Linked DNA regions of Oryctolagus cuniculus. The protein of the gene in region 2 purifies or fractionates together with the protein of the main gene of each other region. This does not show direct contact. Links are inferred from orthologs where the notes say so. Each region holds a gene or a part of one and is shown on either strand. Other genes may lie near its edges.

What was found. The genes of interacting proteins can lie anywhere in the genome.
Region 1: the proteins of SLC39A7 (region 2) and ERBB2 purify together in Homo sapiens (affinity purification with mass spectrometry; 3 studies listed by BioGRID and IntAct, with this or other methods). This does not show direct contact. The link is inferred for Oryctolagus cuniculus from reciprocal best matches to the Homo sapiens genes SLC39A7 and ERBB2.
Region 3: the proteins of SLC39A7 (region 2) and FAM174A purify together in Homo sapiens (co-immunoprecipitation; 3 studies listed by BioGRID and IntAct, with this or other methods). This does not show direct contact. The link is inferred for Oryctolagus cuniculus from reciprocal best matches to the Homo sapiens genes SLC39A7 and FAM174A.

What each region holds. Positions count from the first base shown.
Region 1 is NC_091448.1:22,670,665-22,674,623, reverse strand, and holds the end of ERBB2 (receptor tyrosine-protein kinase erbB-2), read left to right. Parts: coding exon 1-76; intron 77-294; coding exon 295-480; intron 481-626; coding exon 627-782; intron 783-898; coding exon 899-974; intron 975-1,239; coding exon 1,240-1,386; intron 1,387-1,748; coding exon 1,749-1,846; intron 1,847-1,987; coding exon 1,988-2,176; intron 2,177-2,417; coding exon 2,418-2,670; intron 2,671-2,762; coding exon 2,763-3,118; 3' UTR 3,119-3,676; downstream 3,677-3,959. UniProt on the Homo sapiens protein: Protein tyrosine kinase that is part of several cell surface receptor complexes, but that apparently needs a coreceptor for ligand binding. Essential component of a neuregulin-receptor complex, although neuregulins do not interact with it alone.
Region 2 is NC_091436.1:135,903,453-135,907,800, forward strand, and holds the start of SLC39A7 (zinc transporter SLC39A7), read right to left. Parts: upstream 3,125-4,348; 5' UTR 2,957-3,124; intron 2,662-2,956; 5' UTR 2,658-2,661; coding exon 2,229-2,657; intron 2,139-2,228; coding exon 1,970-2,138; intron 1,824-1,969; coding exon 1,770-1,823; intron 1,644-1,769; coding exon 1,479-1,643; intron 1,361-1,478; coding exon 1,220-1,360; intron 966-1,219; coding exon 769-965; intron 336-768; coding exon 63-335; 3' UTR 1-62. Other genes in the region: RXRB (retinoic acid receptor RXR-beta), read left to right, coding at 3,415-3,655, 4,256-4,348. UniProt on the Homo sapiens protein: Transports Zn(2+) from the endoplasmic reticulum (ER)/Golgi apparatus to the cytosol, playing an essential role in the regulation of cytosolic zinc levels.
Region 3 is NC_091445.1:23,050,254-23,054,212, forward strand, and holds part of FAM174A (membrane protein FAM174A), read left to right. Parts: intron 1-1,281; coding exon 1,282-1,416; coding exon of another isoform or gene 1,417-1,420; intron 1,421-3,959.

The DNA.
Region 1 (3,959 bases), on a different chromosome or scaffold from region 2:
GAATGTGAAAATCCCGGTGGCCATCAAAGTGTTGCGGGAAAACACATCCCCTAAAGCCAACAAAGAGATCCTGGACGTAAGCCCGTGCTCCCCTCACACCCTGGCTGTAGGGTGGGGCTCTGATCTTTCTGCACTGGTGTCTGGGGGGATGGGACTCCCAAACCTCAACTCAACACCCCCGTCTGTGGTCCGTGGCTGTTTTGTGATGGTTGGGGTTGGCAGGGTGAGGGTCCCCAGTCACGGGAGGCAGTTGGGGCTGGGGTCTTTGGTCTCTGACGATTTTTTGGCCCCCAGGAAGCATACGTGATGGCAGGGGTGGGCTCCCCCTATGTGTCCCGCCTCCTGGGCATCTGCTTGACGTCCACGGTGCAGCTGGTGACACAGCTGATGCCCTACGGCTGCCTCCTGGACCATGTCCGTGAACACCGCGGGCGCCTGGGCTCCCAGGACTTACTGAACTGGTGTGTGCAAATTGCCAAGGTATGCACTTAGGGGCAGGGCCTGGGCTCTGTGGGCCCCTGGGGAGCAAGCCCCTCTCTCCACAGGGCTAGGGTGGGTGCATTTCCCGGGCATGGGGCCAGTCCGAGCCCCACGCAGAGGCCCCACACCAGTGCCTCCCATTGCAGGGGATGAGCTACTTGGAAGACGTGCGGCTCGTGCACAGGGACCTGGCTGCACGGAACGTGCTGGTCAAGAGCCCCAACCACGTCAAGATCACAGACTTCGGGCTGGCTCGGCTGCTGGACATTGACGAGACAGAGTACCACGCGGACGGGGGCAAGGTCAGAGGCGCGAGCAAGCTGAGGCTGGGTGGGGTGGGGCCCAGCCCCAGGAGAATTCTGGGAACGGCAGCCTCCCGCCACATCCGATTGGAGGACTTCCTCCTCTGCCCTCCCAGGTGCCCATCAAGTGGATGGCGTTGGAGTCCATTCTCCGCCGGCGGTTCACCCACCAGAGTGATGTGTGGAGCTACGGTGCGTGGCGGTGGGGGGGGCGCTGGATGAGGACCTGTGCGGGTGCTGGGATGGGGAGGACTAGGAGGAACCTTAGTGGGTGCACGTGTGTGTCGTGGGGGAGGCAAGGGCTGCCCGGGCCCACTTTCTAGGCACTGAGGAAGGACCGGGTAGATCCGGACCCTCGACGTCACATCTCCAACTCGCATGGCGGTGCCAGGCTGCTGGGCAGAGCTGCAGGGCTCAGGACACTGACGCTCCCTCTGGTCCCCCGTCTCTGTCCTAGGGGTGACTGTGTGGGAGCTGATGACTTTTGGGGCCAAACCTTACGATGGGATCCCAGCCCGGGAAATCCCTGACCTGCTGGAGAAGGGGGAGCGGCTGCCCCAGCCCCCCATCTGCACCATCGACGTCTACATGATCATGGTCAAATGTGGGTGGCTGAGCTGGGCTGGCTGCCTGGAGGCGGGCTGGGAGGTCCTGGGTGGAGGGGCCCACGGGGGGGACTGGGAGGAGGCTGGGAACCAGATGTTAGTGGGCCCAGGGGATTTGGTATAGTTACAGGAGCCCCCAAAGCGTCTGGTATCCCTTCTATAGAAGTCTGGGGAGTTACATGCAAGTTAAGAGGGGAACCTAGAAGGGGTGCCCAGAGATCCTGGCTCCAGACCAGAGAGCCGGTCCCAGGCTGTCAGTCAGGGTTGTCTGGGCCAGGGGGGAGCTGGGTCGGGGTTCCCAGGGAGGCAGCCAGCACACTGGGGGGACCGGGACCGGGACCTGAGCTTGCTCCCGCCCCAGGTTGGATGATTGACTCGGAATGCCGGCCCAGATTCCGGGAGTTGGTGGCTGAATTCTCCCGCATGGCCAGGGACCCCCAGCGCTTTGTGGTCATCCAGGTACTGGGCCTTCCTGCCCTGTCCCGACCCACCTCTCCTGCAGGGGTTGGGGATGAGGACCCCGAGCCCAGCCCCCGCCTCTTGCCCTCTGTGAAGCCGGGCTGGGGAGGGGCTGCCACGCTGTGCCTGCCTCCTCCCCAGAATGAGGACCTGGGCCCCGCCAGCCCATTGGACAGCACCTTCTACCGCTCGCTGCTGGAGGATGACGACATGGGGGACCTGGTGGACGCTGAGGAGTACCTGGTGCCCCAGCAGGGCTTCTTCTGCCCAGACCCTGCTCCGGGCGCTGGGGGTACAGCCCACCGCAGGCACCGCAGCTCGTCCACCCGGGTCAGTGCCTCGGTCACACTGCGGGCTGTGCTTGCTCCCCTCTCCGCCCCAGGGAACCAAGTCCCCCTTGGATGTTCCCCCACCCCCTCCCTCATGGAGACCCCATTCTCCCTAGGGGCGACGCTTATTGCCCTCCAACCCGTGACCCCATCCTCTCTGTGGCGACTGTGTCATGCCCCGGGACCCAGTCACTTCTCATGGGGTGTCCACCCCAGGTCATGACCTTCTCTCCTGTCCCCAGAGTGGTGGCGGTGAGCTGCCGTTGGGGCTGGAGCCCACCGAAGAGGAGCCCCCCAGGTCTCCACTGGCCCCCTCAGAAGGGGCTGGCTCCGACGTATTCGATGGCGACCTGGGGATGGGGGCAGCCAAGGGGCTGCAGAGCCTCCCGCCACACGACCCCAACCCTCTGCAACGGTACAGTGAGGACCCCACAGGACCCCTGCCCCCGGACACTGACGGCTACGTTGCCCCCCTGACCTGCAGCCCCCAGCCCGGTATGGATTCCAGGCCTGAGTGGAGATCGGGTGGGCGGGGGATACGCTGGGGCCCCTGGGATCCTTTCCTGAGTCCTCTCTCGCCCTTTCAGAGTATGTGAACCAGCCAGAGGTCCGGCCGCAGCCCCCCTCGCCCCTGGAGGGCCCTGCACCGCCTGCCCGGCCAGCCGGGGCCACCCTGGAAAGGCCCAAGACTCTCTCCCCCGGGAAGAATGGGGTTGTCAAAGACGTTTTTGCCTTTGGGGGTGCCGTGGAGAACCCCGAGTACTTGGCACCCCGGGGAGGGGCTGCCCCTCAGCCCCACTCTCCTCCTGCCTTCAGCCCAGCCTTTGACAACCTCTATTATTGGGACCAGGACCCAGCAGAGCGGGGGTCCCCACCCAGCACCTTTGAAGGGACCCCTACGGCAGAGAACCCCGAGTACCTGGGCCTGGACGTGCCGGTGTGAGCCACAGGCCGAGCGTGCGGAAGCCCTGCTGTGCCCTCAGGGAGTGGGGAGCCCTGACTTCTGCCCACATCACAACGAGGCAAGGACAGGGCCCTGGACCACACCCCGGGCAGCCTGCGCCGTGCCAGGAGCCCGTGCTGAGGATCTCCCTGCCTGCTGAGTTCCAGTGGCTGAGAAGGGCCCGCCCTGGGAAGTGCTGGTGGACCCTGGAGCCCCGCACCGCCAGGTTCTAGGGTGCAGGGGGCCACAGCCACAGCCTCCTCACGCGAGGCAGCAGCTTGGCACCGAAGGGCTGAGCGAAGCTGGGCCCAGGAGGGGGGGCGTGTGCCAGACACGAGCCACCCATGCAGGCTCTCCCTCAGGCTCGGTGCTGCCCCCGGGAGAAGGGGCCGGCACCAGCAGCCAGACCCCATCCTTGTACAGAGTGCTTTTCTTGTTTTGTTTTTACTTGTTTTTTAAAAGATGAAATAAGGACCCAGGGAACAGGGGGAGTTGTATGGAGGAGGGGTCCTCCCTCCACACCCACTTTCTCCACTTGCAAATATATTTTGGAAAACAGCTGACACTAGCTCATGCCAGGGTGGGGGTGATACTCCGTGCCATCCCTGCAGCTCACCCAACAGTCAGCTCCTCTCTTCCTGGTGGGCGTGGCTGCAAGTCTTGAGAAAGCAAGGACCGACCAGGAGCCTGCTGTCCTGGAGCCTGGCTTTTGGATAGGGGGCATCGGAAAGTTGGGATTCTGATCCGAAGACCCTTTGACAACCCGATGATTCTTGCTTAGGACAAACTAACTGCTCAGGCCACTCCACCAGAATGGGGCGGTTTTCTGCTTCTGGGTGAG
Region 2 (4,348 bases):
CTCTGACCTGGAGTTAGGGGAAGAGGTTTAGAGCAGGGGGTGGGGGCAGTTCATCTCACCTCTCACTCGAGGTGGGCAATCAGCACCATCATGACAACACCACCCAGCAGCCCCAGCACCTCCAGAAGTGACTGTAATGGTGACGCCTCCCTCAACAGCTCAGGCAACACGGACACTGTTGCTACATAGATAAAACCGCCTGCGGTGAACGGCAGAATCCAGCCAGGACCTGCGCCTCCCGCACCATCACTGCCCACTGCCCCTCCTTCGGTTAGAAGGGCACAGGCTGTGCCTGCCAGTGCCCCCACTGCTGTCAGTAGTTGTAGACGCATCGCCTGGTGGAAAGCAGAGAGAGGCACTTATCAATAACTAAAGGTTATAGCAGTTTCAATATATGGCTGTTGAACTACAGGGGTAGAAAACCAAAAGTCAAAGAAAAAAGGGGGTGTGTGGTTTGTCTAGAATAAATATTTCTTCAAAAATCTTAAAGGTTCAAAGAGGTTCTTTCCACAGACTTTCTAAGGTCTGATTCAGCAGCAATGAGTGTGTATGTGTGTGTGTTTGTTAGGTCCCCATAAATCATCTGACAGTTCAAGAAATACTGAGGCATAGGACAAAGAAAACAGAGCTTTTCTCCCCTCAACTCTAGCGGATCTGTTGATGACAGTACAACTCGTTTGGAACTAATGAGAAGGAGTCTGGGTCGGGAGTAAACGAGCAGTGATAAAGGATTTGAGACCACTGTCTTTGATGGACATCACCACCAACCTGCTTTTTGCTGCAGCCAGACTGGACCAAGATGGCAAAATCCCCGACCTCATGGGGCACTTCATGCAGCAGGACGGTCATTGTGGTCAGAATCCCCAGCCCCTGGCCCCCTCGAAAGGAAGCACCAATGGCCAGGCCATCTGTGAAGTTGTGTGCCAAGTCAGCAGCCAGATTCAAGTACCCGGACACACGCAGATCTGTACGGGAGAGGCAGACAAAATGACCAGAACATCCATCGCCCCTATCCCAGTCAGACTTCTCACACCACGGCTCAGAGACCACTTCACCCCTTGGGGTTTCCCCAACACCTGTCACCACCTGCACGTGTATTCTGTGTGACCCACTGCCAGCCCCTTGGTGTTTCCCTGACGCCTGTCATCACCCACACACACATTCTGTGTGAGCCACGATGGTCCCCCTGCCCAGGCTTCTCCCCGACCCCGACCCTCACCTGAGCCTGTTTTTTCTTCCTCAGGGTTCTGAGCTCCCACTGACCCATCTTTGGGCCCCGTGCTTCCTCCTTTCCTCTTCCGCAACACCCCTCCTTCCTTTTCTTCTTCCTCTGAGCTCTGCTTCTCCTTTGGAGGGCACTCTGAGGGAGAAGGGAGTTGGTCAGGGTCTCCTGGCGCGTCCTCCCGCCTGACAGCCATAAGGTGTGAGGACGCTGAGGCAGGCAGGGTAGCTTTAAGGAAAGCTGGCCCAGGGCTCACCCTGCCTCGCACGTCCGTGACTCCCGTGACCGTGACCGTGAGTGTGTCCGTGCCCATGGCTGTGTCCATGTCCTCCTTTCACATGCCTCACGAACTTCTCCACCACAAGGAAAGCGACAATTCCGCTGAGAACCCACAGTCCCACAGACAGGATGGGGCCTTGGCCTGGGAAGGAAGCATTGGGACATGAAGGGAGCCGCAGATTCCAGACATCTCCTCCTCGAGTGCAGGTGCAGAGGAGGGAGACCTTCCCCAGCACTCCGACCCAGGTCTCGGCCGTCTCTTCCTCACCACTGTGTGAGTGTCCATGTCCGCGCTGCTCCACCGTGTGGTGAGAGTGAGGTTCTGGAGGAAGCCGGGGGACGAGGGGAGCAAAAAAAAAAACAACAGATGAGGGGGTACCTGACTCAAAGGGGGAATACTGGAAGGTCACTCTTTTCCCCAAAGAATGGAATAGGTTAATATTTAAGGTAAAATCAGAGGTAACTTACCCAAGGCATGAGGGATGAGGTGCAGGAAAGCATCTCCCAGGAGTCCGCCAGAAGCAAAGCTTAACAAGATTTGCAGCAGAGAACTATGGCGGGGGGAGTTTGACTCCACAGGGATAAGGAAGAGGAAGAAAAACGGCGCTGCAGATATCAGCACTGTGGCCCCCAGTGCCTGGTGGGGAAGAATCAGGTGGTCAAGCGCTGGGTGGTTTCCCAACAAGCAAGAACCAGCCCCTCTCTCCCCCGGCCCCTGGGGACTCACATAGGCCCAGAGAGTGACAGTGTCCAGGTCCTGCTTGATGCCTGGAGCCCCAGACTCCCCATAGCCTCCACGGCTATGCTCATGGTCATGTCCATGTCCTCTGTGGTAGAGGCTCTCATGGGAGTGGCCATGGGAATGGCTATGGCCATGGTGCAAATCCTCATGTGAATGTCCATGGTCGTGACCGTGGGTATGCCCATGCCAGATGCTTTCGTGAGTGTGGCCGTGGCCGTGGCCATGGCCATGGGCATGGCTGTGTCCATGGTGGAAATCCTCATGTGAATGCCTGTGGCTGTGGCCATGGAAGTCCTCTTGCAGGTCCTCGTGCTGGTCGCCATGACCCCCGTGTCCAGCCACCAGCAGACCCAAGGCTGCCCAGGTCAGCAGCCCCATGGCCACCCAGTGGGGGGCCCCCAGGCCTCTGGCCATCACGCTGACCAGAGGGACAGAGACAGTGACTTCACTCGACCTACTGGGGTCCGTTTTATTCCGCTCGCGCCCTCCGTCCACCTCTATGGGCCGCTCCCCCACTCCATTCTGCCCCCACCCCACAGTGTTCCCAAGGCTCGTTCTTCTTTATTCCGACACCACTCCCGGATGGAGGGCCCCCCAGGACACCGCTCTAGGCTTTCATGTGTCACGTTACAGTCTCTCTGGGCCCTTCCTCCCTGACTCACTAGATGGGGAAAAGGCCTGAAAGGGACACAGAGAAAGGCAGGAATTCTCACCGGCTGCGGAGTCCTCTCCTTTCGCGGTTTGCTCGGACGTGGCAGTCACGCCTCCAGCTCCCGCGAGAAGAGGGAAGCTCCCCCGGTACCTTTACCAATATGGCGGCACCCAGCACCCCGGCAGCCGCGAAGCCGCCCAGGCCTGACGCGCACGCGCACGAGTGGAGGTTATTCGCGGGGAGGGCGGGCGAGGAGTGCTAACCCGCCAGAGGAGCCCGCCTCCTCCGTTTCCAACTAGACGAGGGGGCGGGAACTAGCGACGAGACTTCCCGTTTGCACAAAGATGGCTGCCACATCGGCGCTGTCATTTTGGTACACAGAAGAGGGAAGCGCCTAATCCGATCCAGTTCAGGCCAGAGTCTTTTTCCTCTGGGACTTACTCGTGCTCAGTTAGTCCCTCGACCACACCTGGGGAGCCCCTGGCACCTCCTCTTCATCCCTACACTCAGCCGGGGACCATGTCTTGGGCCGCTCGCCCGCCCTTCCTCCCCGAGCGGCATGCCGCAGGGCAGTGTGGGCCGGTGGGGGTGCGAAAAGAAATGCATTGTGGGGTCGCGTCCCGGTGGCGGCGGCGACGGCCCTGGCTGGATCCGGCGGCGGCGGCGGCGGCGGCGGCGGCAGTAGCAGCCGGAGAACAACAAACCCCGGAGCCGGAGCCGGGGGAGGCTGGACGGGACGGGATGGGCGACAGCGGGCGGGGTGAGTGTCCTAGCGGACGGGCGGGCGAGCCAGTGACCGCGTTATCTGCAACCCCACCCCACCCCCTCCTCCGGCGCTCGTTCCCTGGCGCTCCCGCCCCCTTGTTTGTAAACACGCGTCCTCTCCCCGCCGAGGGCCTCAGCGCCCTCCCCCCGGGGCGGGGCGGGGAGGGGGAGCTTCCGCCCTTCTGGCCGCGGCCGCTCGAGGCCCAGCACGCGGGCGGGCCCGGGCGCGGGAAGAACGCGCTTCCCCCTGGGCTTGAGAACCCTGGGCAAACGTTTAAAGGCGCATCCTGCGTCCTCGGAAGGGTCTCTTCCGCCTGTGTCTTTCCCCCGCTCGCTGTGGCCGCTCCACGTGCTGCCCCCACCCGCGAGACAGGTCTGGCTTGGGTGACCTGGTTTTCATTCAGATGCATTGATTGGATTTTCCCCCTCTCTGCTCATCACATTTAGGGCGTGTGGAGCGGGATGGGGTGGGTTGGGTGCGATGCGGGATTAGAGAATTAAAGTCTTCAGTTGGATGATGGAACACTCATTCTCTCTCTCTCTCTCTTTTTTTATCTCTCCTGTCTGTGTGTCTCTGTCTGTGCCCCTCCCTCAGACTCCCGAAGCCCAGACAGCTCCTCCCCAGCCCCCCTTACACAGGGGCTCTCCCCCCCTTCTCCACCTGGGCCACCCCTCCCCGCTTCAGCGG
Region 3 (3,959 bases), on a different chromosome or scaffold from region 2:
ATACATGTACACAAGTAGGATATTCATTTAAATTGGATTGCAAACCTTAGCAATATTGTGGGTATGTGCACATGCACATATAAACACATATACCCATACTTACACATCGATACACATCATGCACTATTAAGAAAAGACTAACTTGGGGCAGGTATATGGCTGAGGAGCTAAGAAGCCACTTGGGGCACCTTCTCATACCTGACTGCCTGGTTTCAAGTCTCAAATCTGCTCCCAGTTTCAGCTTCCTGATAATACCCAGGGAGGCAGCAGGAGATGGCTCAATCATTTGGTCCCTATCAACAGCATGGGAGACCTGAATTGAATTTCTAGCGCCTTTCATTTACCTGGGTCAGGCCCAGCCACTGCAGGCGTTGAGTGAACCAGAAGATGGGGGATTTCTCTCTCTGTTTTGTGCTTCTCTCTGCCACTCAAATAAATAAAAAATAAAAGAAATTTTCAAGACCAAGTTATACTTCATGCTGCCTCATTTTTCTATTTCTGTTTTGCATTAACTCTTCCATTGGTTAGATTTCTAACTTTGAATACTGTGACTACAACCACTGTTTTCTCTTTCTTTATCTTTAACTTGATATATTGATAGATCTATAGTTAGTGACTGGTGGAGGTTATGTTAGTTTTTGTCCTGATTTAGTAATATTTTATATATTTCAGTCACCAAAACCAAGTGTTAGTATGTATTGCAAAAATTCCAATAGATCTGTTTGTGAGAAACATTTTCTTATGTGTAGCATTGAGGTTGTTGAATTGGAAGGAAATCAGGCCTTGACTTCAGGGTCATGGTTTTGGATCACTGAGCTGAAAATCACTAAGAACCTCAAACATATTTAAGAATCATCTTAATCAGTAGGACAATGTGCTAAAAAGTGGTTTTACAGTGGTGAATAAAACAGGCATGGTTGTTAACCTAGTGGAATTTAGTGGAAGAGACAGGGAAATGAATGCCCACATAAACATCATATGAATGCAAATGGAGATAAAGTACAAGCTATTTGAGAGCTAGAAAGAAGAGGTGCCAGGACAATTGGCAGAGAAGAAAATATTTCAGAAGACATTGATATCATACAAACATGTAGAAATAGGTTCTGTTTCAAGAATTATAGGTGATTTTAGTTGGTAAGTTTTTTTTATATTCCTGAAATATAACCATTCTGGTTTTAAGTGCCTCCTTTTTCAGGAACACAGGGATAGTTTATTTTTAATTTGCAAATAAGCTAACAATCACTTATATTAAAATATTTATTAACTTGTTCTTTTTTATAGGATGAGGAGAAGAAATCGAAAGACAAGAAGATATGGTGTTTTGGACACTAACATAGGAAACATGGAATTGACACCTTTAGAACAAGATGATGAGGATGAGGATAACACATTGTTTGATGCCAATCATCCTCGAAGGTAAGCGATCAGTAGTTTAGTTACACGAATCAGGAAGAAGAAAAGCATGGCAAATAAATTGAAGAAGTAAAACAGTTTTTATTCTAGCAGATTTTATCCAATTCTCTTTCATGAAGTCCTTTGTACTTACTTATCCAATACCTTATATTCGTGATACTGCACTGACATAAGTAAACAATAGAGTACCATCCCCTGAAGAAATCTCCATTGAAGATCTCACTGCAGCTTTGCTTTTTAACTTCTTCATCCCTGTGATATATATTAACTCATATGTGTGTGCCAGAGTGTGTGTGTGTGAAATGTTTAGCACACTTGACTTTCTTTTTGTATTCTGAAGATTTTGTTGTTGTTGTAGTTTGAGTTATTGTATTTACATGCAGTATTACTCAGCAGAATTATAGGGCTGATAGTTTATATGGTCTGATAATGAAGTTACATTGTTTACAATCAGATCTATGTTCCCTGAGTGTTAAGACCTTTTCTAAGTGGTTTGGAGAAACATAATTACATGGATAGAGAATTAATTCCAATGTAAACAGAGTCAGGGAAAAGAGGCAACAAAGATTCCAGTCAATAAGGAAAGACTTGTTAGGTAAAGGAAAATTAGAGTCCATTATCAAGTATAAATACAAACAATACAGAAATCCTGAGATTACAAACAACAACAATGATATTAAATTAGATATATATGTATATATGTACATATATATATACAAGTAATGTATTATCACTATTGCTAAAGCAATGTACATATACAGAGATATATAGATATATATGTTTATAGAATATATGTTTAATTTTATTTTTAAAATAGTTTCAGTACATATATTTGTATATATATATATGTATAAAGGAGCTTTTATGATTGCTGGTAATTCATTCATTTAATAAAATATAATAATTGTGAAGTGCCAATTATGCAATTATAAGCATTCGAGCCTTGGTAAGCAACCTGAACAAACAGCTGTATCTGTTCCTAAGGGACTCAGTTTCTTAGCGAAAACACACATGAATAAGATGCATAAATTAAAAAATTTATAACATTTGATTTTATGCCCTGGAAAAAAATAATTGTCTATAACTTTTGTATGGTTTTAAGTAAGTGTAATATTACCAGTTGTTGACTGTGTTTTAGGAGTGAACCAGATAAAACTGCTGATTTGAATTTAAGAACATTGTATGTAGCAGACATTTATCTTTCTGTGTTAGAATTACAGGAAGAATAATGTGGAGAACAATTGAAAACTGAGCTTGACTGGGAGAATAGCACATGATGTATCTCATCTTGGGTTCACTGTGAGAATGTGCTTATTTAGCAGGATGGCAGTGGAATCTGATCACTTGTATATTACAATTACTAATTTAAATTTTTGATAAAGATACTGTATTAAGGCATCTCCTATTTATATACATAGAAAAGAAAGAAAAGGAAGTTATTAATCTAGGAACTCAGCATTGTCACCAAAGAAGAATTGAATTTGAACCCCAGTCCATATATTTCTAACATGGCTGATTACAAACAAAGATTGTTTTAGACAGAAGCAACCACCCACATTTTAATAGTTGTGAAAGGTGATACTTTGGGGAATTCAAGCCACTTAGATTATCTAAAACACAATTTGTTGTGTGAACTTATGTATTTATATATGTGAGATTGGGAGGTAGGAGAATCCAAAAAGAATTGGAACAGGTAGGTTCAAAAATGCTAGCAGTTTCCATGAGATATAATTACTTATGACTATCTTTCATTCTGTATCCTGACTCATCACAGGCCTTCCCCCATTACTTATTCTTCTTTTGTGCCCCATGTTTCATAAATTGCGCATTCCATTAGGGATCTAAACACTACTCAGTTACATCAATAATGAAGCATTAAGCATAAGGTGGTATGAGAACATTTGGAGGGTACATAGGACACTTCACCAAGAAAGTGATGTTTAAACTGAGAACTGAAAGATGACTAGAAATTAGCAATGTGAAAGTCAATATAGGGGCAAGGTTTGGAGACAGGAGAGACACAAAGTATTGGGATAAAGAGAATATAGAGAATTCAAAGAACTAAAAGAAATTAAATAGATGCTATATCAATTTTTGTGTGAATAAATCACTTATTTTTGATTTCTGGATACAGAAGATTGATTGATACATAAGGCAGAACAAGGAGTCAGAAGGCGAATCATGTGGTGGTGATGTCGGGAAAATAACAGACTAAGATGTCCCAGCTCATCTCTCCTCATAAAAGCAATGGTATAGCAGCAATCTACCTATTAAAGTAACTATGGGAGGGCCGGTGCCGCGGCTCAATAGGCTAATCTTCCACCTGCGGCGCTGGCACACCGGGTTCTAGTCCCGGTCGGGGTGCCAGATTCTGTCCTGGTTGCTCCTCTTCCAGTCCAGCTCTCTGCTGTGGCCCGGAAGTGTAGTGGAGAATGGCCCAAGTGCTTGGGCCCTGCACCTGACCCGCATGGGAGACCAGGAGAAGCTCCTGGCTCCCGGCTTCGGATCAGCGTGGTGTGCCGGCTGCAGTGCGCCGGCCGCAGCAG